Drosophila melanogaster: one gene and its partners. The protein of the gene in region 2 interacts with the protein of the main gene of each other region in a pairwise test. Each region holds a gene or a part of one and is shown on either strand. Other genes may lie near its edges.

What was found.
Region 1: the proteins of CtsB (region 2) and CG13423 interact in a two-hybrid assay, tested with the Drosophila melanogaster proteins (one large-scale study listed by BioGRID).
Region 3: the proteins of CtsB (region 2) and Prosbeta5R1 interact in a two-hybrid assay, tested with the Drosophila melanogaster proteins (one large-scale study listed by BioGRID).
Region 4: the proteins of CtsB (region 2) and CG14204 interact in a two-hybrid assay, tested with the Drosophila melanogaster proteins (one large-scale study listed by BioGRID).

What each region holds. Positions count from the first base shown.
Region 1 is NT_033778.4:20,533,240-20,540,338, forward strand, and holds CG13423 (uncharacterized protein), read left to right. Parts: upstream 1-3,338; 5' UTR 3,339-3,449; coding exon 3,450-3,992; intron 3,993-4,053; coding exon 4,054-4,941; 3' UTR 4,942-5,025; downstream 5,026-7,099. Other genes in the region: CG30154 (uncharacterized protein), read left to right, coding at 153-213, 283-416; Bbd (bombardier), read left to right, coding at 1,287-1,353, 1,415-2,085; CG13427 (uncharacterized protein), read right to left, coding at 5,709-6,026; CG13428 (uncharacterized protein), read right to left, coding at 6,363-6,437, 6,506-6,574, 6,726-6,800, 6,982-7,011, 7,067-7,099.
Region 2 is NC_004354.4:13,777,171-13,784,900, reverse strand, and holds CtsB (cathepsin B), read left to right. Parts: upstream 1-2,730; 5' UTR 2,731-2,971; coding exon 2,972-3,091; intron 3,092-3,167; coding exon 3,168-3,428; intron 3,429-3,574; coding exon 3,575-3,742; intron 3,743-4,250; coding exon 4,251-4,724; 3' UTR 4,725-5,054; downstream 5,055-7,730. Other genes in the region: amrt (amaretto), read right to left, coding at 1,728-2,402.
Region 3 is NT_033778.4:23,306,904-23,313,543, forward strand, and holds Prosbeta5R1 (proteasome beta5 subunit-related 1), read right to left. Parts: upstream 2,914-6,640; 5' UTR 2,826-2,913; coding exon 2,676-2,825; intron 2,620-2,675; coding exon 1,822-2,619; 3' UTR 1,751-1,821; downstream 1-1,750. Other genes in the region: HP1Lcsd (heterochromatin protein 1L chromoshadow domain), read right to left, coding at 6,144-6,395.
Region 4 is NC_004354.4:19,581,556-19,590,659, forward strand, and holds CG14204 (uncharacterized protein), read left to right. Parts: upstream 1-2,061; 5' UTR 2,062-2,086; coding exon 2,087-2,384; intron 2,385-2,443; coding exon 2,444-2,816; intron 2,817-2,874; coding exon 2,875-2,948; intron 2,949-3,021; coding exon 3,022-3,337; intron 3,338-3,401; coding exon 3,402-3,618; intron 3,619-3,909; coding exon 3,910-4,091; intron 4,092-4,149; coding exon 4,150-4,621; intron 4,622-4,691; coding exon 4,692-4,991; 3' UTR 4,992-5,502; downstream 5,503-9,104. Other genes in the region: CG14218 (uncharacterized protein), read right to left, coding at 1-104; CG14219 (uncharacterized protein), read right to left, coding at 5,827-6,096, 6,157-6,607, 6,668-6,840, 6,900-7,116, 7,196-7,308, 7,367-7,569, 7,625-7,698, 7,776-8,130 and 1 more.

The DNA of each region.
Region 1 (7,099 bases), on a different chromosome or scaffold from region 2:
CTAAGAGAGGGAGTGAGAGCGAGAGTCCAAAGCAATCCAAGAGATACGATTCGAATAAGAGATAGAGCGCTACTTGGCTATTGGAGCCGTATAAAACAAGTGTGTCCATATTATGCCCCATCATTGGAACATTGGAACTCCTCGGCTTGATCATGTACCTACGTCAACAACTCTGGGTTCTCTTGCTCTGGCTCTGCTTCGTCGTTCTCAGCGGTGAGTGGTGTTCTAATATCTATATCTATTATCTATATTTTTATAAACCCACATTTGTCATTTGTGAAGTGCATGGCATGCCGTGGAAATGGGGACCTGCCTCCAATTCTGGACCCCATGGCGGACCCGCCTGGAATGGCGGAGAAGAGTCCACCGACAATATAGTCATCCATTCGAAAAACAGCGGCAAGTGGCGTTACTAAATTTATCCAAGTGGCAGAGGCGTGACCACAACCAAGTCAAGCTGGATTTTACAGTAAATTTGTGAATAATTTTACAACTACTTTGCTTCGCAATTGATTTTCGTCGAACAGTACTCGATTTGTATGCTAATACTTCATTCATGGTCACACTCACTTATATATAGTCACTTTAATTGTGCACCTTTTTATCTATGACATTTAAATATAACCCTTTACTATACTGTATGTAATAGAGCCAAAATATTTAAACGAGATTAAAAGCCTAATATTGCAAATATGAATATGAAGATACAGTTTATACGGCTTTTGAAATTGTTTCCTGAATCTAACTAATATTGCAATCGAATGAACAAACCGAAATAATCTACGAAATTATAAGCTATTGATTGATATTGATTTTATTGATAAGTATGCAAACGAGCTTATGGGAATTTTTCAATTCTGATCGTCATAACAATATCAGCACGTGTTTTATAATAATTTTTTCAGAATGTTGCAAATCGCAGCGCACCCAACTTTTCAGTTTCTATGGCATATCTGCGTACTTTTGGCCTGGCTAAAAAGCGTTCTTGATTTGACACAGTTCCCCCCACTCTCTCGATCCGTCTAAATCGAGAGTGAATTGGCAAGCCGGTGACGAAGTGCCTCTGTCGCTCAACCGCAAGTAAACAAAACAAACCCGTCGGTGGCAATTCCCGGTAGACTGCACCGCTGACCTCCTCCGTCTTATCTGTTATTGCGCGAGAGTCACTGTCACTGAGAACCGATCTCATAGAGTATATAGAACGAATACGGCGCGATGAGCCGATATTTTTATGGGATAGTATAAATAGCTGGCATCGCACTTGGCATTGGCATAGTCAATGCAAAATGGGCTCGAACACTGGAGCTTGGATTCTACTGGGCCTGCTGGCCGGCATCGCCTCTCTGTCTAGCGGTGAATATATAGATATACTTTGTATGTGCAGATAGAAAAAAAATAAATTGTATTTTTATAGCTGCGAATATACAGCGAAATGAGGACCAGACGATTCTTCAGAACAATGGAAACACCTTCCTATCAAACGGAGCCGGGCAAATCATTCGTGGACCCGATGGCAAAACAGTATTGATCGGATCCGATGGGCGCAGGATCATCACGGATGCCGACTCCAGCGAAGAGGACAGCTCGCACGATTATGGTCACGGTGGGAGCTATAACAATGTTATCATCAATGGTGGCTCGGGATCCAGCGTAATTCATGGCGATGGACATAGCTTCATTGTTGGAGATGCGAGTCATGGAAGTTACATGAACAGCAATGGACGCAGTATTAGGATCATAAATGGTGCCATCGAACTCAATGATCACGGCCAGGTGTACACATTCAGGCCAAAAGCAGCAGGCATTAACGAAAAGGAAACCGTCACCATCAACGGACAACCGGCTCAGGTGGAGTACTCCAATGGTGATATAGTCATCGAACTGGCCGATCATACGGTGATTGCCAAGATAGGTGGACGCACATTTCTGGGCGATCGCGAATCCTTCGACAATCGGGATAAATTAGAGGCGGAGGCAAAGAACTATGCCGATCGTATCCAGCAAGAGGTGCACGCCAATCTCCAGAAAACCATGGCTGATATTCAAAGGGATCTTCAGAATTCCCTGGGAAATATTTTCTATTAGAAGCCAAGTAATCAATCGTACACGAGTCGCTCGAAATAAAGCGCCTTTGCAGCAATTGTCTTGACTTTAATTGTCTTATCTATGGTTTACAAGCTAAGATGTTCTAAAAGATACATATCTAGTGTGTAATCCAAGTACAACAGACCCCAGACATGAGGCGTCTTTGGGCATAATCTTCCCATTTGACCGGCCTGAGGCCACAAACGTGTGGGTGGTTAGGTCAATTAATGGGAAATGACGCCCGGCAAATGTGATTGATTAGCGGGAAACTCACCGTATAGGCAGCTTATGGGGCGGCTAAATCTAATGCTTAGTATCGCCTAACAGACTAGGTTTGTATGGGCGTGTGGCGATTGGAATACAATTACCGAGCTTGCGGCGGTGTTTATGAACACTTCTTGGTATTTAAATGACGGAATTTCCCAACGAATCTTCGTAAATAAGACCAAGGTCTCTTATTCTTTATATTTGTGTTTTCCAAGCTAACTTAATAAATTCTTAATTAATGGCCTTGATCTTTTGTCAGCCACAAATTGTCTAATTGCATTGCTGTATACATTTGCTTGTTTATGAAAAATGCTTTTAATTGAATTAGGGTGGGTCGAACGAAATTTCTGCTTATTTTGTATTTCTAAATCGAGATTTGAAATTAAATTTCCATCGATGTTAAATCTTAAATTTCTATATCAGGTTGACAGTTATATATTTAATAAACTGCTACAAATTTGTTAAGTGAGAATGCTATAGTCGACTTGGGCAAATCGATAGAAATTTACAAGACAAATAAAAATATATAAAAAGTTTTAGTTTTGGGCGGCTTGTCGGCGTAAGAGGGATCGTTCAGAATGTGTAAGGTTGATCTAGAGCTTGATTTGCAACCCATAGTCAGTACAAACCAAGTATCTTATCTGTGTCCTTGTTGTCCATTTCGAAGATTGATTCGCTGCCATTTCCCATTTTCAAATTCAATGTCAATTCTGTTAATATGAGCGGAATGAACGCAGTGGATGGATATGTGGGGTGAACTTTTTATCTTAATGACTTTATTTATAGGCTGAAACTTAAAAGCGAAAACAATGGTATTCAAGTTATGTGAAGCAAAAATATCGAACTGCGCGCGAGCAGCTAGAGATGTGTTTTTTTTTTATCGATCCGGTATTTGATTGATAAATAATCGATTGTAAGTGGACACGTGCCCAAACACGTTGCGTTTGACAACTGCTTTTCTATCCAATTAATTGCGATAAATAGACGAAACGAATTCGGACCGAAAGATAGGTCTAAATTTATAGTGTCTATTCCTGCGCTTTCTAATGTCAACCACTTGAGATATTCGGAATAAGATCACTCGTCAAGATACGAAAATGAGCTTTTTGTTGACCGAACCGCAGTGGTCCGCCTGGTACTCCGCCTTTTACGCGTCTTCGATGAATCGTCTGGCCCAGAATGTGTGCACCGCTCAAGATCCCATCACTGTATGCCTGCGATCCGAGGCGGACTTATGCTCCGTTCCGTCAGGTGTGAAAACCTGGATAGAGTTGAGCAGGCAGGGCAAGGCCACTACCGGTGGTCCGGGATGGATATGCACGGGCCTGGACCTGCTGTGCCAGGAGATGGACAGAAAGTTGCCGCTTCCACTGGACTTTGAACTCTCCGCCGCACATTTGTTTTTCTGGCACAAGTTGGAGCGATGCAACTACTTCCTGTGGACGGTCGCCGATCTTCTAATGCGTTGCGAACCGCTGGATGGGCGCTGCTTTCGGAATTTAATTAAGAACCCAGTGCCAGATGGAGGCAACTGGCAAATGTTCGTTAATCTGGTCAAAAAATACGGAGTTATGCCCAAGAAATGCTACCTCCACTCCACTCAGCGAACTACAAAAATGAACCTCATACTGAAGAGTAAGGTTGGTATTTTGTATTGTACTGAATATTATATACATATGTATATATTTCCTTCACCTAAAGCTACGTGAATATGCCAGCATGCTGCATGCTCAGTTCACCTTTAATGGGAATGGCTGCCGTCTCCCCGATCTCATTCAAGAAATGATTCCGCATCTCTTCAAAGTAATATGCATCTGCCTTGGTGAACCTCCCAAGGTTTTCACCTGGTCCTTCTACGACCACAAAAAGCGTTACCAGTGCCTGAATGATATGACAGCGGTCCATTTCTACGAAGTTATGGTAGGCTGTACGGTGAATCTAGACGCCTTTGTCTGTCTGGGTCACGATCCGCGAATCTCATCCAGCTACCATAGCAACTATCAGGTTGCCAACAGCTCGAATATGATGGGCGGAAAACCTCATAGGTATAATAACCAATCAATGGACATCATAATGCAGATCATGGTGACTTCTCTGGAAGGTGATAAACCCGTTTGGATGGCCTGCGATATTCGTAGAGCAATCAGTTTGAAGTCCGGTCCATTAAGCCTGAGATCGCATCAATTTGATTTGCTATTTGGCTTTAAAGTGGGCGAGTCGCTCACCAAAGCAGAGAGACTTGACTACAGAGCATCCCGACGGGATGCAGCCCTGCTCCTTACATCCGTTGGATTGGACACCTTGAAACAGCCCGTACAGTTTCGCTTCATAAATGCTTCTACAATTGGCGAGTCTCCCGCCACCGGAGGTCTTAATGAACACGATGTGGACGAAAAGGTTACGAAGGCATTAAGAAAGAAGTCGGTCAAACCACCGGATAACAAATTGGACGCCGAATGGTTAAGGGAGTACGCTTTTGAGATTGTAGTCCACGAAAAATTTGTCCCATCGGGTGTTTTACATGCCGCAAGGATACATAAATGGAAAGAACTGCCTGCTTGGGATCCCATGGGCGCATTACTTAATTAAAAAATTGTTTAGAACCAAAAAAAAAATCTTTCATAAGAAATACATTTACTACATTTTATTTGCCTTCTTGAATAGATAAAAACTAAATCCATTCATTCAATTCAAGAAGAAAGTTCAACAACAATGACAAATTTCAAGTATTTTTCCGAACTGTGGGCGTGGCAACGTGAAATAAACTTGCGCTGCTTAATTTCAACTTTCTAGCTTTTATAGTACCTAAGATCTATCGATCGTGATCATGAATACTTGATATGGTCGAAAACGCTTTCTTCTTCCCTTTTACCCTTTTACTCTACGTGTAACTACGAGTATAAAAACAGTCAGCACGATTGAGTTTTGTTGTTTGTTGAAAATAGTTTTAGTAAGTAGTGAACAATTGACTACACTCTCGTTTAAAGTGTCCCATTTTTGAGTTTCCTGCGAACTCTTGTGCCAGCCGCCAATCGCTTGCATAAAATTATTTAAATATCCCGCAACGTTGTGTCCTTTGTGGCAGTTGTTGTCATCGTCACCGAGGCGCGACCTTCACTAAGTTTTTCGGGAATCGCTCCTACGTGCCCGGCATGACTAATTAGGCATTAGGGAGTTCTCGACAAGAGTTGTTGGCGCGGCCAGCAAAACGGCGACTGTTTTCAACTTAAGGGATTTGCTACTCTAAGGAATTTGCCATCGCACAAAATAAAGAACAACAAAATTAATCTTTGACTTAAAGGCCAGGCGTCTTTATTTTATTAAATTCGGTTACAAATAGCTGCTTAAAATACGGTCTACCAGTAGCGTCGGCCCTGGTTGTAGTACGGATAGGGCTGTGCGTATCCGGGGTACTGTCTTGGAGCCACCTGCTCCACAATCACTGGCTGCACCACCACGGTCTTGGGCTGGAACAATTTGCTCAGGAGATGGCGTGGACCGCGTATGCTGTTAGAGACTTGGTCTGCCGACGTCGGGGGATCTGCTGCTGCGGCCAGTGGAGCAACATGCTGCATATCAGCTGGCACAAGAACATTTTTATCGTCGTTATCAGGAAATGCCAAAACCATCGCAATGGTGAGGCTGCTCAGCAGAAGAATGGCCACGAACTTCATCTCGAAAGGTGTGTGTGCGTGTTGTATGATCTGTTGGCAAATGTAAACTGATTTCCGAAGAGCACAGACTCACCTTAAATAGGAGCAATAGATGGTGCAGGTAGAACAGGTTTTCTTCTCTACCTGTCACAGGATTATGGCCCATTATCCCGAGAGCAGCTGCACAAGGTGATTAGCCCGTTGAATTTCCCAGAAAATTACCCTCTATGGTTTATGGTTAATGGCTTAAGGAAATTCGGGTGTGGTCATTTTTGGAATGCTTCAAACTACTTTTATTAGCTTCGATGTGGTTCCCAAATACATGCACAAACGCCCAACTTTATGCTTTACATTACTTTAGAGAAGGAACTGGGGTGGTGGTGGAAGGCCGTCCGGCGGTGGTGGCATTCCAGGTGGAGCCTGACGACGTTGCTGAGGATGGAGGAATAGTAATGGGTTAAGGATCACTCCACTTATTTTGAACAGCGGACTGTGCTTACTCTGAACTGCGGCGGTGGTGGAGGATCATCATTGGCCACGAGCTTGTCCTCCAATGTATCACGACGGGACTGGAAATATTTCGCAAATTATGTATTAATATATATATCAATATTAATTTGCCAATTAAAAATAAAGTAACAGAAAGGCCCTTCGATATACGGCCGCAACACAATTGCTTATATAAATGTTCTAGTTTTCTACATTTTACTAAGTTCTTACTCGGAATTTCGGAGGTGGAGGCGGTTCGTTGCCGTGAAGAAGGGCGGTTTTCATTGCGGGGACATGGCGCCTTGCCTAGAAGTAGGCATTTAACATAATTTTGCATTAGGAGTGCTAAATTGTGAATGCGCCGCCAGTGCACTGCCTCCTGGGCATCTAGTTGCTTCATCTGTTCTGGCGCCTTTAGTTTCGTTTGTAGGGCCAATAGTCTTAGCAATCACTGGCCTTCAGTTTGACCCATTCTTTGTGTACTCACCCGCCTGAACAAACCGACGAACTTTGGTTCCTGCAAGGAGAGACGATTAAGCCCGTTGATAGGTCACTAAACCACCGAATCCTACCTCCACTCCATTTGTGGTGCCCCCACCACGTCC
Region 2 (7,730 bases):
TCGAGTACCGGTACCGAATGCCGAGCACCGTTAGGCAGCTGCTTTTAATGAGCCTGAACTTTCACACCGCTGCAGCAGAATGTAAAACTATTATGCACACTGCAAAAAACAAGCGCTGGTCATTCGCTACAATTACTAAAAAAAAAATAATACTATTTCCTTGAGAATAGCATTTTAATAAATTAGAAATTGGATCTGTGAAATAAGAAATGAACTATTAACCAAAAGCTATGTTTAAGAGCATTTTAGAAAACTTGAGAGAAATGCTCGATCGATTTGCAACTTTGTATTGATCAAATGGCACTATAGAGACCAATTCTACCTTTACATTTCTTTCTGTGTAGCGCCGACGGCCTTGGCGGCTAATTACCGGCGACCGGTAATGCGGTCGCTGCGCCGTCGACCCTGCGTGGGCGGCGCAGCCTTAATCCCGCTCGAACGGATTAAGTCGATGATGCTGGTATGGAATGGAATGGCTTCGGCTGCAGGTGAATCGATAAATGGAAATCGCTACTCCTCTCGCTCCCTCTCTCTCTCTCTCTGTCACTCTCTCTCTTTCTCCCACCCTATCTCCGCTACTCTTTGGCTTCTTCTTTCTTTTGCTTTCTGTTTACACTTATTTACCATTCAGTTTTTGCTGCTTTTCCGCTTTACACACAAACACACACATACACACATAGACGCGGTTATGTAGAACAACCACTAAAGCACCGTTAGTCTAACAGCATCCAAAGATATTCGAATTGTCTTGCCGCTACCGCTGCCGGCGTCGCAGTCGCTGTCTGCTTCGACGTCGGCGTCCTCATGTTGTTGTTCTTGTACTTCTTGTACACTGCTGCTTCCTCTTCCTTCCTTAGCTTTTTCCCCATGGAATTTGCACACACGACTTTGTGTTTACGTTCTTGTGCCGCGATTTAAGTACTGTTATAACTTTTGCCTGTCATCACTAGTTTGCTTTTTTTGTCTTGTTTATTTTTGTGTATTTTGCATAAATTCCCGGCTAACAATTATATATTTTCGTTTGTTTTATTTATGCACCGCGCAGTGCTTATTGTTGTTGCCGTTTCTTGCGGGAGAGATGCGACGCGCACGCAGCGTCGTCAATGGAGAAAAATAAAAGAGAAAGCGCCCGCTCAGCTCAGCCAGTCTCCGTTGACCGCGCGGTTGGCGAGCTTTCTTGCAACTGACTTTCGAGTTTGAACGCGAAACTTTCGATTTCCATTTCCCGATGGCGAAGGACGATAGCCATCATACGATAACGATAGCCCAATGGAAAGCAGCTGTCGGAAATGCAATGGATCCACTGAACAAATTTTGGAACAGCTGTGGCGCTACATTCGAATTGAACAAAATATACTTTAAAATTAAAAATAAAAACGATTGTGCAAAGTCAAAACGTCCCTTTTGATGCTATGCGGGCATTTTTGCACGGATCAAAGCTGTAGTTTTGGTGTAAGCTAAAAAAACAATTGGTTTAAGAGGCAGTCATTTGATTGTCTTAGGCATATAAAAACTATTTAACTGTACTTCTAAATATTTATTTATCCTTACTTTACATCTAATAGATATGTATGAAATTATTAATTTCAATGATTTTATAACAAAGGTATTTATAATGAAATAAGGGGCAAGTTAATTTAATTTCCTAACACTACGAATTAATCAGTGAACAAGATTAATCTTATTTAACTACTTAAAGCTATGACACAGAGGCATATCACACACGTCTAGACATAGGGATTCCAATTGCTGCCGTCCTCGGGCAGCAAATTGTTGGTGATCAGGAGGATGACGTCGATGATCCACCAAACGCCCACGCCGCCCATGGTAAGCAGTTTGCCCACAGCCGTGCCCGTTTGACCGAGACAGAAGCGATCCATACCGAGGAAACCCAGCAGCATGCTGTAGATCAGTGTGGTCACAAAGTAGTGATCCGTGTAGCGGACACAGGGCACTCCGGCGCGCAGAAAGGTGCGATTACCGTAGCACTCGATGTCGGCAAACACGGTGCACCAGACCATGGCGTGCTCCACCTCTTCGTACGTGGAACCACCGAACTTCAGGCATCCGTATTTCTTTTCCTGCTGCGCCGTGGCGTTCTCCCGATGATCGACGGGATCCTTGCAATCGAGAAAGTCGCGCGGCAGAAACGAGCACATCACATTCGGTCCCAGTGGATAGAAGGCCGAGTTTCCAGCTCCGCCCGAGGCGGAAGATGCCGAAGATGACGATGAGGAGGGTCCCATGCCGGAGCCCAGTTGCGCCTGAACGGGCACCACCGATTGCACCGCCGTGCCGGAGACCACAGTCTGCGGCTGCTCCTTGTCGCTGCGTGCCTGTATCGCTTGGGCATCGTGTTGTCTGGCCACCAGGAACGCCAGTAGTCCGTAGAAAATCCGCATCTTTGCGAGCTCCTTATCAAAATATAGCTAGCCAGTGTGGCCACACCTTAGCACAGCTAACAGAGCTCTGTTATCTGCGATGGCCTACCGATAGTTCTGATTTTAAGCACCACGACAACGAATGGAAATAAATAAATGCAAATAAACCACCTTTCAAGTAACAGTGCTCCTTAGCATATTTATTGGCATTAGTGTGATCGTAGTCTTTAGTTAAGTACATTTAGTGAAGTGCTATTTAGTATAATGCGTTTATTTATTTCAGACTAGTTACCAATCACGCGCCCATCTCTACATTCGATAGGCAACGGCCCTGTTGCATTGGTGTGCACACACTGGCCGCGTAATCAGCGGGCGCGAACCATTTTTTTTTTTTTTTGTGCGACAGAACAAAAACAAGAGAATAATAGACGCTTAAAGAGCATTACCCGTCCGAATTTCACGGGCAGTACGAAAACAAGAACGGAGCAGAGAGCCCGCTTAATACGACGCGTCATTTTCCACCATTTTACTGCTGTGATTTGTTTGAATTTTGCTGTGTCAGCGCATTGGAAATTCGTTGGACAAGAATAATGAATCTATTGCTCCTGGTGGCCACCGCGGCCTCCGTGGCGGCACTCACGTCCGGTGAGCCGTCACTGCTCTCGGATGAGTTCATCGAGGTGGTGCGCAGTAAGGCCAAAACCTGGACGGTAAATTCCTTTGTTTCCAACCCTTTTCTTGCTGACGTGACAAGAAAATTGCATTTTCCCGTTTCCTATCCGCCAGGTGGGTCGCAATTTCGATGCATCCGTAACGGAGGGACATATTCGCCGCCTGATGGGCGTCCATCCGGATGCGCACAAGTTCGCACTGCCCGACAAGCGTGAAGTTCTTGGCGATCTATACGTGAATAGCGTTGACGAACTTCCCGAAGAGTTCGATTCCCGCAAGCAATGGCCAAACTGCCCAACCATTGGCGAGATTCGCGACCAGGGTTCATGCGGCTCCTGCTGGGCCTTTGGTGCCGTGGAAGCCATGTCCGATCGCGTACGTAGCTTACCTTATCGATATTATAACCCCTTCCATTCTTTGTTTGTCCAGCTGATAAATTTCCCCATTTTTTTTTATTATTATTTTCTTTTTGTATTTGTTATCAATGATTTTTTTTTTTTTACTGATTTCGCAATGGGCAGGTGTGCATCCATTCCGGCGGCAAGGTGAATTTCCACTTTTCGGCCGATGATCTCGTCTCCTGCTGCCACACCTGCGGATTTGGCTGCAATGGCGGTTTCCCCGGCGCCGCCTGGAGCTACTGGACGCGCAAGGGAATCGTCAGCGGAGGACCCTACGGATCTAATCAGGTTGGTGATCTTCTCCTGCTTTAATGGGATTTTGCAAATCATATTTAGTTTGGTTTAAAAGGGCTTGCAATTTGGTTTTGCTTGCAGATGAGTTTCCAATAAAAAAAAGGGTTTGTTTTCTAACGAAGAAAAACATACTTTATGTGCAAAAATAACCTGTATTTGTACATATTGTATTTCTACGCCGAAATAGTTAGAAAGCAACTTGATTTTGTTCTTTGTTTACTTGAAGTGAACTGAAGACTCAGTTTACGACGCCATAAAAAATTGTATACCACAGATATCGCTAGAAAGCGGCTTAGTATATCATATACAAACATCCATATACACAAAGCTATATGTATATATATCATATACGAACATCTATAGATATACATGCATATATTGTGAATGCACTCCAGATTCGCGTACATCCTCAACGATAAGTTTTAGCTGCTACTAACTCATTTCCCAGATATAGTAAGGCAAACAGAAGAAAAAACGATTCTAATATGCACTTATTTTGCAGGGCTGCCGTCCTTACGAGATTTCTCCCTGTGAGCACCATGTGAATGGAACCCGACCACCATGTGCCCATGGCGGTAGAACGCCCAAGTGTTCGCACGTCTGCCAGAGCGGTTACACCGTCGATTATGCCAAGGACAAGCACTTCGGCTCCAAGTCGTACTCGGTGAGGCGTAATGTGCGTGAAATTCAGGAGGAGATCATGACCAATGGACCGGTTGAGGGCGCCTTCACCGTTTATGAGGATCTCATTCTGTACAAGGACGGTGTCTATCAGCACGAGCATGGCAAGGAGCTGGGCGGTCATGCCATTCGCATTTTGGGCTGGGGCGTTTGGGGCGAGGAGAAGATTCCGTACTGGCTAATTGGTAACTCGTGGAACACCGATTGGGGCGATCATGGTTTCTTCCGCATCCTGCGTGGCCAGGATCATTGCGGCATCGAGAGCTCCATTTCGGCGGGTCTGCCCAAGCTGTAAATGTTATATGTATTCCGGCATCAAGCTGATATATCAAAACCCCTCTATTTTCTATCATCCCTCCTTTTATTTTCATTCCGATTCGCAACTGACGTTTGTAGTTAATGTAAACAACCTAAACCTGATTGATAATAAAGTATTGTATATGACTGTGGAACTGTACTTTGCTCGTATACAGTGGGACCTCTCTAACTAGAAACAAGGCAAACAAAAAAAAGAAAATGATTATCAAACTGGAACTCAGATATAATTAAAAGCGAATAATACTATTTGTGAAACAATGCTATAACTATCCAACTATAAACTATTGTTTAGCGTAGCTATGCCTTTTTTATTTAATAGTAGAGATTAATAGTAGAGAGTATCTGATCCTCTATACTATGTACACACATTTAAATGGAACGCCGTCAATCGTTCAATCGTTAAACTGGCTAGCTGTATGTTTTGCGAGTTATAAATGTGATTAGCATCGCATTTGATTAATCAAACAAAGAGTACAGCTTGCAATCGCATTCGTCATTTGGTGCGATTTTGTTGAGTTAATTTATTATTACATTAGTTAGCTTGGCCATACATACATACATACATACATATATGTACATACATATGTAAAACTTATCTCGTTGAAGCTGCCCACAATTTGCAGCACCAAATGTCCATTCAAATTGTACACATATTTATTCACATAACATGTTTTATTTATTTTTCTCATTTGCAACATCAAATAGAACATTTGTTTTGTATTTTCAGTTTTTTTTTTGTTATCTTGTCATGAACCAACCGCTTCTCTTATCGATTTTCTGTGAATTGATTGACTGGTTTTGTAGCCACTCTTCTATTCACCGAAACTCGATATTTTTCTAACAAACAGCTTACATCGAAAAATATTTGTTACTGCCACATTTCAATTGGTTTACTCTTGTTATTTGTCATATTTCAATTTCAACTGTTGGCTTAAAAATCTCTTAATTTTGGGTAGGTTTACATTATATATCTATATATATATATATCCATTTTCGTGGAATCAGCTCAGCTTAATTTGTTTTGGTTTGTAATTCTTGCTTTGCTTTTATTTTTAGGATTTTGTAAATAGATTGCATTTGGCTTGCTCCTCATCTTTTTTATTTGTTTTGTTCATCGGTTTGTAGATTTTTTTTGTCAATAAATAATTTCATAGTTTGTTCGCTCTTCTTAGAATTTTTTACATACTGAATGCGTGTATTCGTTATTCCTGGACTTTTGCACTTAAGACTCGTAATTAAAATACATAACCATATGTATGTATTTTCTTATGTACGTTAATATTGTTTTCAATGTTTTATTCTTTGATTATTATTTTCTGCATTAGTCATCGTCGTTTTGTATTTCGGGGTTTTTAGCTTATCATCTAAATGGTGGGTTCTCAAAATATCAATGCAATTTCGCTCGACGCTTTATTGGCTTTGGGGATTTCTTATTGCGATAAAGGAGTGAAAAGGTCTAGTTACATAGATGTCTATAAATTGCAAAGATAAATCAAGATATGAAATATTAGAAACACTTAGAGCAAGCACTAAAATGCCATTGTGTGTGAAATTTGAATACGTTTTAGTTTTCCAGTTCTATTTCCGCAGCATATTTCTGCTTTAGGTGGGGAGTTTATATTAAACACAACACGAAACTAACAGATAATTCCAATTTTCGAAACAAATAACGATTATCTCTCGCAAAACTAAAAGTGATATGGAGCAGTTTGAAACACATAAGATAAGCTCAATTTTGCTATTCTGAGAAGTTGAACGCATTATTCATTTACAATTAGATCTAAGTTGGAAAGGAAAGTCGGCGTGGACTTATAGAAAATGTATAGCAAAAATGCCCTTAATGTACCAGCTACGTAGACAGACATAAACCCTTTTTGACCTCTATGAGTATCTGGTGTGTTATTTAATAGGAGACTTGCGTCTAAATATCGTTTTACCTCATCCTTAAATCTTGAACTACTCACTTATATAGGATAAACATTTCATAGGTCGAGATTCATCTTAAACTCTATAAGATCTTCCATCAGTTTAAAGTTTAATACTTGCTACAAAGGATAATTAAAATTGAAATACAGCTAAAAATCGACTGAAGTGGAGAATAGAGGAACGTATAGCCGGACAATACTTTAATCGGAACACTTTTTCAGTTAGCAAGCTTCAAAAAGACCTTAATTGGTAGTTGCGCTATATAAATATACAGTATATGCTTTAGGTATATATATATATATATTACTCGACTCTCATTACAACTATCGGTTTAAACTCTTTAACTTGCATTTACTTTTCAGTTTAGGAAGTATCTTAATCGCTTAACTCAACTAACTTTGGCTTAGGTAAACCTAAACGGATCGAACAGATTACAGCTGACATATACATATATATATATATTATATATATTATGTATATATTACATATATACATCTATATATCTTTTTTATTCTTAAGGTCCCAAGTGTACCTTCAATTTTGGTTAGCGTTTTCTTTAGCTTACAAGATGTGTGAGAGTTTTGTAGTTAACTTGCGTGGACAGCCCATAATTTGGGGTTTTTGCATACATAGTGGTATTATATATACCCTAGAGATGTATATATATATTATATATGTATTACTATATGGGTCAGATTCAATGCCCGTTAATCTTCAGGTCGCCTTGAGTTGTTTGTATAGGTTTTTAAGTTTTCGGCTTGATCGCGCCTCAATTCGAACTCAACTTTGGTTTTTTTGGTTTCCTTTTTTAGTTTTGGTATCACAAAATCGGGTTTTACGTTTACACAATATCCAATAGTTTCGGTTTTTTTTTTTTGTTTCATTCCGAAATGTCTTTTCTTTTCGAATAACAATTTTAGTAGAGATAAATATATATTTTTTGCTGTTTCATCATCTTTTTAAATAACTTTTGGTAGCGAAAGACTATCACAATTATGGAGATTTGAAATTTCTGGGGCCAGTTAAGAGATTGTATTCAATTTCATGAAGTTTTTGC
Region 3 (6,640 bases), on a different chromosome or scaffold from region 2:
ACATCGCAGGTGTTGCAGCTTGTTGTTGCTGCCGCTCTTGTTGTTTGCAAATTAATTTAAATTATGGTTGCTGCGTTTTTTTTTTTCGACAAGCTTTTTATGCCATATTAGCTGAAGGCTGGGGCGAATTTTGTAATGGAGAAGGAAACCAGCTAATTTGGGAAAATCGATACTATCAATTAGTTTGCGTTATTTTGAAAACAACCACTTCATTATTGTATGCTAATATTTCGCACAGCGATTTTCAGTAGAGATTGCAGCCAGGTAGTTAAACTGAAAATTTTAATTTTAAGTCCACTCTTTAAAGAGTAAAACCTTTGGCATTTTAAAATATTAGAAATTTAATACACTTCTACGTTTTGTTGTTCAACGCGTTTGGAAAATTTGTGCGTGGCCACTTCTTGCCACCATGGAAGTAAGTACACAAATCTAGTGCTGCCGGAAAATAGTTTTGACCCATTAACCCGGGTTGCAACATTTTTTCCGCCACTTTTGCTCCACTTACCCGCAATGAGGATTTTCCGAACTTGGGCCACACGGCTTTGGCTTTAAGTAATTTTCTAATGACACCACAGAGGAAAAATGACTCTCGAGGACGACTTGGGGGCTGGCAAGTTGTCTCCATTCCCCCCCAGTTTTGCAGCTCCTGCTGGCGACGTTCATTAGATTAAAAGCAATTTACAGTAAAACTTTTTGCCACAAAACGCCTTTTGGCCCGATGTTGCTCCGCCTCCCTTCCAGCCCCCCCACAATCCAGCTGTTTCACCACACGTTCTGCAACTCACATGTGCCCAAAACGCCGTGCAAATGCTGCCACCACCAACTCCTTAAGCACTGAGAGAAAAGTTATAGTGCATAGCACAAATTATATATCTTACAAAAATACCGTTCTTGAGAGTTATGTCTACTTGCACATCATTTTGTGCATTTGATATATTTGCTTAATAATATATTTAATATTCGTATTTCCTCCGTGTAGTCATTTGGTGCTCTTTCCTCTTCTTTTGGAATTCAACAAATTTGCGGATTTGGTTTGTAATTTATTAAATTTATCGCATGCTCAGAGCGCCTTAACAGTCGTGCAACGAGGAGGAGGAAGATCCCGATGAGGATGAGGACGATAATGGGGATAAAGATGAGGATGAGGGTCACCACCCAGTGGGGCGTTTGGGAGAGAATGACCTACGCCTGCTAATGTCTGCGGTTGCGCTTTTCCGGCGGGGGAGGGGGAGGGGATGGGCAGTGAGGAGCAGATCCCCCGGACGGAGTCTCCAGGCAGTGGCATCTGCAACATTTGTTGATGACAACCCAAAGACACGGAGTGCAACATTTCGGCGAACATTTCGTTGGCCGTATTTTGTGTGCGGCACGCCCATTTGGGGAAAGTCATTGCGAGCTTAGAAGTTATTATTTTGATTTATAGGAAAAGTTCGTTTAGCGAGCGAAAGTTGCTCGTATATTTTCCGCAGTGGAGGATGGAAGAGAGGGGAGTTTGAGGAGTGAAAAAAATTAGATAGAAGCACAGCTTTTAAAGTGTGGCGAGTGCGGGGCGAAAGGCATTTGTATGTATGCAGCTCTTGTTTTCATTATTAGTGGCTAAAACTTTGAAATGTATCTGTATGTGTGCTTTTAGAACTGAAGAGGATTAGATAGAACAATCCAGCATACGGTTCGGAAAACTATTCTCACGATAAATTCCGGACTTCTTCACTGCCACAAATTCCCATTACCATAAACACTAACACTTTATACGTTTTGCACGACAGAAGTTTTACTTCCACAGAAATTTTTGCTAATGTTGCTCCAATAATTTCCAAATTTTCATACCGTTGCCAGCTTAGTCTGCAAATTGTCTGCTGTGATATTCTTCTTCGTCCAGCCACTGGAACAGGGCTTATCATTGTCGGGATCGCCTACGTTTCCTACATCCTTCTCGTTCCCCGGACACCCAGATGCGCAATACGAGTCATGGAGATCGGAGCAGTCCGTATTGCAGATATTTCGCCAGCCCTCCGAATGAATGTGGTAGAGACGCACGATTCCACCAGAATAGGCATCCTTACTGGTCGCATGGTAAATCGCTCGCCTGGCCAGGTCATAGGCCTCCTGATCGGAGAGATCATAGCGGTACCCAGTGTCCAATACGCCGAGCGCATATGGAGAACCGCTGCCCACGGAGAAGACTTGACCATGGGATCTCATGCCCTCCGAGTCCACGTAAATCAGCTTGGGTCCCTCGTCGTCGAAGCCGGCCAGCATCATGCCCATCACCAGACCCATGCCCTTGTACTCCGTGGATATGTTGCAGATGATCCGGGCAGCCGTGTCCACGGTCATGCGTTTCCGATAGCGCAGCTGGTGCAGGCGACACTCCTTAGCCAAAACCCGATCCCAGTAGACGCAATCGGCGGCTCCGCCGGCCAATGTGCCCAGCATATAGTCGTTCAGCTCGACTATTTTCCTCATCGTCTGGGATCCAATATACTGGCCAGAGGTGGCCCTAGAATCAGCACACAGAATCACTCCTCCGCGATACTTGAAACCCAGAGTGGTGGTGCCGTGATCGAAATCCATGCGAATGCCACAGTGCGACAGGATCTTGGGCAGATTTTCAGCGGGCTTGAGAAGAGTTTCAATCTTAGATGGATCTTTTGGATTATGAAACCTATACTAACTCTTTCGAAGGGAGGCGCCATCAGTTCGTAGGGATTCTCAAAATTACTGGTTGCCTCGCGAAGCTGCTCCTTCTGCCATTCGGACTGCAAGTCATCGAAGCGCCGCATAAAAGGCATTTTATTCATGCCGCAAATCGCTTCCAGAGCCATTATGTGTTCAAAAAGAGTTTATTATTTCCAATAAATAGTTTAGTGTAATGTGTAAATGAGCACACTAAACGAGCTCGAATGATTGTGGAGTTAAGTCTCTAAGGCATCTTACAAGTGTATCAAAAATGTACTTTAATCAAAACAAGATCACAAGATCAGAAAGCTGGACATCTTGTTCCCATCAAAATATCGCATTCCGCTTGAAAGTTTCGCTCCACTGGACAATCCGCAGCGGCAATTCGCAGTCTCCGATTCCATTGGCATTTCATGGTTAGTGGGTGAGAGTGGTCGCAGCGGCACTTTCGCCGGCCACCCAAGTGGAATCCAATGGACCTTCTGTGGGCAGTGGCAGTGGCAGTGGCAGTGGCGCCACCGCAGAGATACACGACATTTTAATTGGACTGCCGGGCAGGGTCATCATCGCCACCTGCCGAGATGCGAAATTGGGACCAAAACGAGTGGGGAATGGCATAGAAGGTGCTTTCGCAGTGACCACGCCCACTCGCAGGCGGTGGCAAACGGATTAGCCGCTAATTAAAGGCCAATTGGCAATGTTTGCCAAACTGTTTGAGTCCGCGGGTCGACTGGCCTGATACCCCCCGTGATATATGTCCCATCCCAGTGGCAGTCGCAGTCACTCCGGCTGCTCCCACTGCCTCCATTAGTGGACGCCATGTGTCACTGATCTAAATTTATGCAAATTGCCGAGGACTTGGCCTCCGCATTCCCCAAACCACCGAATTCCATTTCCCATTCCCCATTCCGCATCTCCCATCCGCCACATTGGCACATTTCATTTTTGCACGCGCTTTCCATTGCAGCCTGCATTCCCCCCGCCCTTCGAATGGAAAACTAAGGGGGCGGAAGCAATTCGGAGAAAGGCGGGCTGGAAAGGAAAAATCGAGGCAAAAGAAACGAGCTGGCTAAGCCCTTCATCCAAACATACCCTAACTATGAGTACATGAAACCACTCACTGTTATTTTATTGGTCACGAAGCATAATAGTTTACTGGACTATCTAAATGTTAAGTCTAAGTATTAGTATTAAGTATTATTTAAGTATCCAATTGGATACTTAAGGTTTGTCGGTATATTTTGTATATATTTATTATATAAACTTTAGATTGCTGTAGGGTATTCAGCTTATCAACAAATATGACAATTCTTTCGCAGCGCTGCAGTTGCTGGATAGTTTTGACAGCCAGCTCTGATTATTAAATCACAGGGCAGGGACAAACTGGAGCCGGGGCAGCAATCTGATATGCAAAATCTCGTCTAACCCAGACGATGCTACTCCACCAGCTCCTCCTGGCCACCATCATCCTGCATCCCGAATCCCCATTTCCCCCTCCCTGCCCTGCGCGGCATCTGTCCTGCGTTAATTACAGCCCAGTTTTGTGCACTGGCAACAACTTGTTAAAAATTTCCGCTGCCAGTTTATTAGAGGGCAACTAACTAAGGCAGCGTAGTGGAAGAATCTGGCCATTCCCTTCGCTTTTGGCCTGAAGTGGCTGGCAGATTACTCAGTCTGAACCTGTTTTAATGACTAAAATGACGCCAAGTCAAGAGCGAATAAGAGATTAGGCCAAACTTGAGCTTCCCGTCTGCGAATCGTTGCAGCGCTGGACCAAGAGCACGATTTTGTGGCATCGGATTTAGTTGAGAGCCAAAATAATAGCCTTTTATTCGGTGCATAGTTCTTAATTATTTACAATTTGAAATCACATGAGCCTTATTATACAATAGATGAACTATGCAAGATGAGCGAGTTGCTTAATAGACACTAAACATTGAATAACTTTGCTCTCAATCCACTTAGGCAACTTTGCTGAGTAATAAAAAATAAACCACCTTGTTGACAAGCTTAGGAATATTCCCCGAATCTTTTCAAAGAGTTTCTTTTTAAGCTCTCGAATTACAAAAACGAAACTCCGCCGAGAATTGTTAAAATAAAATTCAACTAAGGCGCACGTAAGCAAAAAGCGTTTTAGGGACTTTCGCCGGCGAATATTTTATTTCACTTTCGTTTTATTTACTTTTGCCGCTTAGCATTATTGTTTCAAAATCCTTCAAATCCGTTGTTTTACTGCTTATTGTTCGCCAACTCAGCCCACCAACTTTGTTGCCAGCAACTTTTAAGCTTGCTTAAGGCGCCCAACCAACCAGACTTGCCTGCTCCCAAAATGACGCAAAACTTTCCCATGACTGGGGCATCATACCCACCACCCACCAAGCCACCGATCTCAGTGAGCCACCCAACCACCGCCGTCCAATTTGTAGTTCATCATCTGTCCCGCGGACCTGTCAAAGCCCCAAAGCTGCCCAAATTGTGACAGAGCGACGGTCGGCGGCGGGGGATTCCCCGAAAGCAGTTTTGACATTTGCGTTTAATTTATTTTAATTGAAAAAGGCCCGCCAAATGGATTAGGCCGTCGTATTCACTTGCGGCCCAGACTTTTCCAAAATAATGCACATCAAAAAATCAATAGTAGCTATCATTAAGCTAGTTTCCACTCAAATCTCTTTTCGATGACCTTCAGGTTAAGTATTCACCTGAAGCATATACAATAAAACACGCTTTTCTAATTTCCATTCAATTTACATTAAATTTGTCTACGTGTGCTGCTTATGAAAAAGTTGATCCACATTGATCCGCCGACATCAAAGTCAGATACAAACCAGTGGGGCAAACTACAATACAATATTTGTACGCCAAACAAAGTGCGGGATTTTACGATGATGCATTAAATTAAAAACTTTGGCCTGAGAACAGTCCATTAGTCGGGCAAAAAGTACACGAAGTCCAATTGCAATGCTTATTTATGGGCCAGATTAAAATTTTATAAATGGAAAGTAATTCCCGAAGTGCGGCCATAAAACAAACTCCCCGGCCAACCGCTCAAACTTTTTCATCATCTCGCCAGGAATCGACATCTTGAGGGGCAGAACTTCTTGTAGGTTTTAACGACTAACGACTTTGCATTGGTTTTCATGGCCAGAGTGCCGAAAGCATTCAAGTTGGCTTTTATGGTTGACACAACATATTTGCCGGCATTCCAAGCCAATTGCCAACTCTCACATATCCGGAGATACGCATCCTAATTGTTGCGCTCCAGGATTTTATGGTTCTTTGAGAGCCATTAATCCGAATTTGATATCTGCCTAATTAGTTTTCCCTGCTTGGCTTTTATGGCCAACAGCGTCGTAAATTTTCATGATCGATTCGAGCGGTAAGGTGCGAAAAGAAAACTCCGCCCAGACGATAGGCAACCAAAAACAACGTGTTTCGTTTGCTGCATAATTGAATTTAATTATAAATCATCCATCCTCGCTGGCTTTTCTCTTTCTTGGATTGCCTTTCCGGGATTCGGGCGGGGGCAAGGATAGGTGGTCCATGTAGAATTCGATCACCATTTGGGGAATGCGTCTGTTGGCCTCGATACCTGGAACCACTTCCACCACGGGCGAGTCCTTGAACTTTATCAGAAACATCGTATTTTTATTCGCTGTCGTAAAAACGTAAACTATTTTTTCTACCATCCTACCCCGGACAAATGGCGTGCGGTCCATTATCTAAAAGAAAATAAAACAGTATTACTTATAAGTTTTCTATACCGGGAAAGCACCTAAATTCAACACTTTAGGTTGAATGCAAAACTCTTGCAACACTGGGTCGTTGACTTTGAGTCACATGGAATGTGCCGGTGCATCGTCGGCACAAACTTTTTTCTTTCACGCCGCCAAACAATGCAAATGCACTTTGATTGTTGTTGACCAACAAACAGGCACGCGTCCATCGCAACTCCGTGGCGGCA
Region 4 (9,104 bases), 5.8 Mb from region 2:
TCTCGCGCCACCTCCGTGTCCTGCGGCCCAGGATCGGCTGAGATCAGCGCCAGGAGCAGGCCCACCAACAGCAGGGCCATCAACTGCAGACGTAACATCCTCATCCTGACGGATCAAAGAGTATGTGTGTACCGCTCGAAAGGCCGTTCCAATCAGAACTGGCGCTGGTCAGCGCTGGAGTCGCCTGCCTGTACTCCAACGGAGTGGTGCCACGCGGGCCTGGGCGTCGCGGATTAAGTGCCCCCCCAAAGTCAACTAGTTAGACGGGTTAGCTGCGACCGTCCGCCTGGATCTCGTAATCGCAGACCCCGCCGACTGCCGGCGGTTATCAACGAGTTCAGTGCGTGGCAACAATTACTTTTGCACTACTTTTGCGCCAGTTTATAGATCGTAAGTGCAGCTCGAACTATGCATAATGCTTAGCGGCGAGTGCATTTTAAGAGGCTAAACAACACGCACCGTGGGACTAGAACTCCATATACCCACCTATATATATACCATACATACACATAGCATATACCATATAGTAGAGCTGCCTCCAACATAAGGGATTGATATACACAAGGGAACTAACTATCTGCAAGCTCATTAAGTATCTATACTATTTAGATTGTTCTGTGTCGAGTACGAATCTACATGTTTTAAAACCCTAACAAAATATCAATAATTCACAGATAAGTTTCCCATAAGATAGGGAAATCATTCATAGATTGCTTGTTTTATAATTGTAAACTCAAGTGGTTATATACCATATACAAACGTATGTATGTACATACTACCAATTTCACTTGAACTTGTGTCAAATCTCATTCCTCAAAACAGTTCAAATGTTCAACAATGAAGATTATCTGAATATTATAGGTGTATTCGATTGGGAAAGATTTTACGAACAGTGGGCGCTTACTAATTCGTTGACTAATTCGTCAAGTTTGTACCACTGTGCCGAAAAAGAGGGGCTGTCACGATTTGCTCTCATAATAATATGAATTTCAATTTCGGTTTGGCTGCGGCTGTTGCATTTGATTTTCAAGATATATTTAATCATTTCCAGAGTAATTAACAGCTTTTGGTTTTTCAAGCATTGGCGCAACTGGACAATGGTTAGCAACTCTCGTTTGCAATTCGCATTCGCATCGGAATTGGGTGAAAAACCAGTTTAGACCTTCGATTTTCCGAAAGTTTTGACCAAAGTTTTGACACTTGCTGCCTGAGTTCTGCATGTAAATTAGATTTTGACTGCTGTACCGGTTGTTCAGGTCTTTTCAAATAGGCAACTATGCATAATCTAATTTAAGTCATAGTTACTTATATACATATATAAAAGTACCATTCAAAACACTAACTTTCGCGTTGGCAATGCTGGGTATCTGATAGTCGGTTCGGTTGCATTTGGCGTTCCTTCTCGCTGTAACCTTGATGTATTGCTGTTGCATAACCAAAAAATGCGAATCTGGTCCAAAATTCATACGAAAACCAGTCGGTGCCACACCCCTCCACTTTTGGCTGGGAACCTAGACGAAAGTGAAAACTCGTTCGAATTTCCATTTTCCAGCAAAAGCTGGGAAAACCTGGAAAACACAGGATATCGAGAAATAAGTATTGCATGTCAAAATCAAAAACTGGACAAATCTCTGTCCCGAAAAATGTCGGAATTGCAGACACAAAAAAAAAAAAAAACGACAGACAACTGAGCAACAATTTGCTGAACATTTCGTTTGAATACCATTAGTCATGTTGTATGGAAAGCCAAATCGCCTTTTAATCAGCAGCTAAGTTAAGTTAAGTATTCTCGGGAAATTCGACAAGGTAGAGATGCTACCGAAACAGCCAAATCCAGCGGCTTATCTTTCCGGGTATTCATCCGAATCGCAATAGTATTAGCCACGTTAAGAGTTCGCTGCCCTGATTACCAAGGGTAGCTATGCCTCCGATTATTGGTAACTATTCTATTGTCGGAGGCGCAGATAATGAGATAATGAATTCTCGATTTCGAATGGGAAATGCACAGCAGGATTTGCCTGTGTATAAATGGGCCAGGGAAGGGTGATTCGCTAAACAGTCGTAAACTAGGAGCTCCAGGCGAAAGATGATCAAGCTATTGGCTATATTGCTTGCCATGGGAATGGCGATGGTCCAAGGAGCGCTGCCGACCCAACTATCAAATAATCAATGGACACAACACGATGTGTCCTCCATGGCGGATTACGAACGGCTCCTGGATCTGCGCTCCCTGGCAATGGAGTTCTATCGCGAATTTCGGAACATTTCAACGGCGGATGTGCATCTTCTGGGTGAGCGGATTGGATCACAAGATCTACAGTGCCTGGCCGATATGGCCCAGTTTATGAGTGCGCTTAGTGCGCCCAAGGCGTGGGCCCTAAAAAGTGGGTATTACAACATCTTCAACTTTGATGCCATTTGAGTTTATCCCTTCTATGCGAAGTGCTCGACGCGTGGGGCACCATTCCATCGGGATATCTCATTGGCAACCGCGTCGACATGGGCAACTACAGGGAGTGCCTGTCCGAGGGCGGAATGCTCACCTCATCGCAGGACATCCAGGGAAAGTACTGCTTCATGGAGCTGCCGGTTGCCAAGTGGTTGGGTTTCACTTCTGAGCTGCTGGCGGTGACCAACATAAGGACTGCTGTGTGCCTGCCTTCCTCTTGCTCGGCGGGCACCATGGAGCTGTTCCTCAAGCAACTGCTCAAGCGGCTGCTTGGCGTCAGTGATCCGACCAATTTGTTTTCCATCAGCGAGACGTCGTGCAGAATCAAGGAGAAAGCACCCTGGGATGGGCTCACCATATTCACAGTGTGAGTAGTGTCTTGATACATCCTAGCTGATCTATCCATACTAACTGACTACCATCAGCGTTCTACTGTCCGTATTTGGTGTCACGGTTATCCTGTGCACCCTCTACGACTACTTCTTGTGTCCGGAGCAGGGTAAGTAGCTGACATAAATCGGATAACAGCCTATATGTATGTATATGTACCATATATCCATGTCTACCCGCAGAAAAGCTACCCCGTCCCATCGGCGCCTTCTCAGCCCGTGCCACTTCGCGTTCGCTGTTCACCATTGTGGAGAACACGGCGAATCCGAATGTAATCCACTGTCTCAATGGCATGCGGTGCATGTCCCTGATCTGGGTAATCTTGAGCCATGAGTACATTATCAACATGAAGGGTCCCGCCATCAATCCAGCGGACAACCTGCGATGGGCGACGCAACTCTTCTCGAGCTTCATACTCTACGGTACCTTGTCGGTGGACACGTTCTTCTTCATCAGCGGCTTGCTGCTGGTTTCAATTGGCCTGCGAAGCATAGAAAAGTGAGTCAACTTGTACAGGGATTAATCCGATCTGTAGGCAGGCTAACATTCTCAATGGCTCCAGAAACAAGGGAAAGCTAAATGTGCCGCTGATGTATCTGCACCGATATCTGCGCCTCACTCCGATCGTAGCCGTTGCCATACTGGCATTCTACAAGATGATACCCCTCATCGCAGACGGCCCAATGTACGATGATATCGGCTTTTTCGACTACTCCGGGTGCAAGATGACCTGGTACTGGACTCTGCTCTACGTGCAGAACTACGCAACATCCGATGTGGTGAGTTGAATGTCCAAGTTGATCAGGAGAGGTGGACAAGCCCATCTAGTCCGTCCGTATCAGGATGGATCTGTATCAACCTTATATACCTTAGAAGTTACAATAATTAAAAGTGTTTAGTGGCTTTACTGCGAATAGGAGATCACTTCGATAGATGGCGCCTGCAGCACTAGAATTGATCGTTGGCGCCATCTATGTAAGTTCGGTGGTACCATTGCCATTGCAGTTGGAGCTCTTGACTATATCTGTATATTTATCTATCTAATTATTTGATTGTTGGTTGCTCCTTAGTGCGTGCCGCATACCTGGTACTTGGCGGTGGACATGCAACTGTACATCCTGTCCCCGATCCTGCTGATCGCCCTCTACAAGTGGGGCAAGAAGGCGGCCGGAGGTATCCTGGTGGTCACTTTGTTGCTCTCCGCCTGCCTGTTTGCCACCATAATGGTGAATGACTTCCCTGTGATGTTCAAGTAAGCCAGTCGCGCCCGCCGTTTTGTGTCCCCCAATGCTAATTGCAATTACTAACAGGAATGGAATTCAGGCTCAGGTGGTTCAGAGGAAGATCTACACCGCTACGCATACCCATGCGGCGCCCTGGTTGGTCGGTACTATGTTCGGTTATCTCCTGCACCTGATGCGCGGCCGAAGATTCAAGTTAAGCCTCCTGGCTACCTGGGCAGGCTGGCTGCTCTGCCTGGCCCCGCTCTTCACCTCGATCTTCGCCTTGTATCCGTACTCCAAGCTGCTGGGCAAATCGCCCTCAGTGTTGCAGGGAGCCCTCTACTATACACTGGTCCGGATCGCCTGGCCCCTCGGTCTCTGCTGGGTGGTCTTTGCGTGCATGCAGGGCTATGGTAGTCTGGCCAACAGCTTCCTCTCCTCTCCACTTTGGCAGCCGTTGTCCAAGCTCTCCTACGGCGCCTACATCTGGCACATCTTTGTCGTGGAAGTCGCCAATAGAAGCGTTCAGACCAATACGTACTTCTCCAACTATCAAGTGGTAAGTGTGTGGCAGGCAGGGTCACTCGACATTCCTATTGGACTTGAACGCTTCATTTCCAACTCCATAGATGCTCAACTTTTGGTCCACCTTTGGCTTTACCCTGCTGATGTCCTACGTGCTCTACGTTTTAATTGAGGCGCCTCTGGAGGCCTTGGAAAGAATTATGTTTCCCAATCGCAGAAGCCCGCCAGCAGCAAAGGATCAGCTGCATATCGAGTCCCGAACGGAAGTCGTGGACCAGATGGACCAGATGGATCACATGGACGGGATGGATCAGGTGGTGCAGCACGAGAAGCGCAGTGATATCCAGCCTGACCTGGAAACGAGTGCCAACAAAACAGAGACTGACCTCGAGTTATCAAATTAGACTTATCAGCTCCTATTTAGCCTTTATTAAAACGAACTACTTGTAATCTAGGCACAATTAACTTAACCACGGGTCTAGAGTTACGATGGAATGAATGGTCCTTGAGTTGAAAAGTCTTGCACTTAAGACGATATCAGTCGTTATCTGGTTGCGACTTTTGCGACCAGGTGGGTTTCGAATTAGTCATGAAGGTGATTCCCGACTTTGGCTTGCTGTAATGGGCACACAAAGATTTCAATTCTGACTCACAGAGGCGATGCACGCCCCATTCAGTTACAGAAAAAAAGAAAAGAAACACAAAAAAAAAACAGAAGGAACGACTTTGTCTAGTGTCTCGACTATCAGATATGTATGCACCAAAGCGTTTACAAGTTTTTCAGTTTGATAAGAGCCAAATCTGTTGATAATTTACATTCCATAGATTACGTATTTGTATTTGTATACTTGACTTCCCCACTTTGCTGACCATGTGTCTTGACTTTCATCTGCGTAGTGACGAAATGCTATGTTTATAGTCAGGAAATTGGAGAATTTGCTCTGATAAAACGATAAAATCAATCGATTGACAAACCAATCGAAACGTATTTATTAACATTTTAAACTTGTATTTTGGATGCTTAAAGTGGGCGGGGCCAACATGTTGTGGGCAGATCGACAGAAATGGGCAAGCCAAATAATAAAAGTAGGCGTATCTGCGTTCATATGGATGGACATGGAAGTATCGACTCGTCCAGTGATTCTGATCAAGAATATCGGAATCGCTTACCGTACAATGAATTTCGAACACAGTTTTAATACTTTACGTAACGCATGAAATCATATATTTTAAATGTAATTATACTAAAACGTTGCTCTTTTCGGGAGCAGCCTGAATAACTTCGTCGGGTATCGTGGATATCGCTTCCGCAGGCTTACCTACTGGAGATTCTTCGACTGATGCCTTCACCTCCGACATCCTGGGCTCCACCACCGCGGCCGGCTTGGCATTTGGCCTCTTTGCGGGCAGCAAAAGGCTTTCCAGACCGGCGAATGGCGCTTCGATTAGGATATGCATGAGGTACGAGAACAGAATCGTAAAGCCAAAGTCCGTCCAGAATCGAAGCATCTGGAGATAGGGGGATTCTTAGAATGGTCAACTCCGCGTACAAGGGAACATGGTACCTACCACTTGATAGTCACTAAAGTAGGTACTTGTGTGCGTGATTCCACCGTTCAAGCTCTCGATGAACATGTGAAAGATGTAGGCGGAATAGGATAGCCTGGACAGCGGCTGCCACAGGGGAGAGGATAGCAAGCTGTTGGCCAGTCCTCCGTAACCGTGCATGCAGGCGAAAACCACCCAGCAGAGACCAAGGGGCCAGGCGATCCTGGTTAGGCTTACGTAGAAGGCCTCCTCCACAATGGGCAACGTGTTCTGACCATAGATCGAAAACAGGCAGCTGGCTATCAGTGACAACGCAATCAGCCATCCCAGGAGGACAGCCAGGCGGTTCAGCTTGAAATCCTTGCCCCGGTTGGTATGAAGAAAGTAGCCGAACAGTATGCCAATCAGGTAGGGAGAAGCACGAGTCTGTGTGGCATAGTAGAGCTTCCTCATCGAATCACCGCCGCTTCCTCTGCAAATAAGAGAATTGTTCTGAATATCTTACATATAAGTATCCCTAACATCCACTTACAGCGATAAATCATTGATGACCATGATGCTAAAAAGACAGCCGGCCAGCAGGAGCATCAGAACAAAGATTCCGGCAGCCGCCTTCTTGCCCCACTTGTACAGGCAGATCAGGAGGAATGGTGCAAAGATGTACAGCTGCATGTCCACCGCCAGGTACCAGGAATGACTTAGGCACTGCGAGAAACCGTGGGTGATATAAGGTGATACAAAATGTCGTCATCGAAGGACCCTACCAGGCTATCAGTCGCATAGTTCTGCACATAGAGTAGTGTCCAGTACCAGGTGCTCTCACATGCTGAGTAGTCATCAAAGCTTATTGATCCTTTAAGTGGCCCGCTTTCCCACAGCGGCAGGATCTTCATGTAGAAGAGTATGGCAATGGCCAGGATGGGCGTGAGTCGCAGATACCGATGCAAATACATTAGGGGTATATTCAGCTTTCCCTTGGTTCTGGACGGAGTAACAACACAATGTAAGTGAGTAATTGAGTAATTCAAATGATATCCCTATCATTCAAGTCACAACTCACCTATCCATTGATCGCAGGGCAATCACCACGAGCAACAGACCGCTCAGGAAGAAAAATGAGTCCACCGCATAGACCGCATGTTTTACAAACAGACTGTAGAATGAGTTGATCCACTAAATAATGGGTAATTATATAGAACTTTTACGTTTTTCTTTTACTCGCCCAACTTACCGTCAGAAGGTAACCCATATTAATGTTGGGCGACGTGGCAAGCACCATATAGTCATGACCGTAGACCACCCAGATGAAGGAAAGGCATCGGATCCCATGAAGACAATCGATGACGTTGGGATTCGCCTTGGTGTCCACAATGCGGAATAGGGCACGCGAGTTAGCTCGTGCCGAGAAGGCTTCTACCACTGGATGGATGGTTTCTACAAGCACGGACGATTACTACGGATTCAAGGATCGCATTCGCGAAGAACTCACTCTCATCTTTGCAAAAGAAATAATCGAAAATAGTGCAGACGCCCACTATAGCACCCAAGATCGAAACGATCACTCTGAAAGTTTACGTGTTAACCAAATCTTAGACCATCGTCGCATCCATCATCTCTTTATGATTATGATCTCTACTTACATGGTGAATATGGCGAGGCCATCGTACGGTTTCTTCACTGCGGTCTGGCATGTCTCCTCGGCGACGATCTGCACATCTGCATCAATCTCCACGGTGAGCAGCTTCTGGAAGAGCCTTCGGAGCATCGTATCCATGTTAGCGGCGGAACAGGTGGCCGGAAAGCAGACAGCTGACTTGAGAGCTAATATGGGCAGCAGACTTGGAGCTGGTGTCAGTTTGGTGATGCAGTACTTGCCCTTGATACTGTGACTGCTGGTCACAGCATGGTCAATTGCAATGCACTCGTCGAAGTTGCCCAAGTTCCACCAGTTGCCCGCCAGCATTCCCGAAGGCAGCAGGCCCCAGGAGTCAATCACTGCAACGGAATCGAAACGAAACTGAGGTACAGAGAGCACCTTGGGTACGCAAGCCTCACTACTCACTCTTCAGGGCCCAGAATTTAAAGGACGATAGGTCCTTGGACAGGAGCGCTAGATCCGCTAGGCACTCGAGATCCTGCAACGAGGGTATCCTCGAGTTCGAGTTCGCCGTGAGATCCTCTAGAGTTACATTGGCGTAGTGCTCAAAGAACTCCACTGACAAGCGTCTGGTGTTGAAAATACTCGAATAATGATCCCCACCAGCAATGTGCTCAGTGAGCAGTTTCGTATTGGTCATGGCAAATATGTTGGTCATCTGTGCATTAACACTTTTGGCCAAAGCCAAAAGGCCCAATCCCAGGATAAACGCCAACCTAACCATGTTGCTCTGTCTGGTGGCGAAATGAATTTGATCGGATTGCCAACGCGCCTGGGGGCTTATATTCGCGGCACTTCATGGTCCGTCATTCTGCGATTAATCCATAACCATAACCATGGAACGCAAAGTGTTTTAAAATACGCCCCACACGTTCAGCGCTGATAATCAATTCTTATCTATAGTCTCCTTTTGGTGTTAACTTATGGTGCTGATTTATTTAAGTATAATCTACACATGCCTGTCACTAACTTGAATCAATTTTAGAAGATATAAAAGTAAAGTATTAAAGTAATTACAACCGGAATAATTGAGAAAACTTCTTGATTTCGAGACGAAATCGATCTCAATGTTGATATTTGCAGGCACATGATTCGATCTTGGCTAGATTTTGAGATCGAAGCTATCAAAGATTATCATTCCAGTTACGCATTGTAAATCCTAAGGACTGTTAATCGTTTTATTGTTTGACCATCTTGATTAACCACACAAAAAACACTTTGCATAAACTTTGCACAATTCATTGTTAAGATATAAGGATTTATGAAAAAAAATTCCTTGAAATTCTAACCTATTGTATATTCGGTTCAGGAT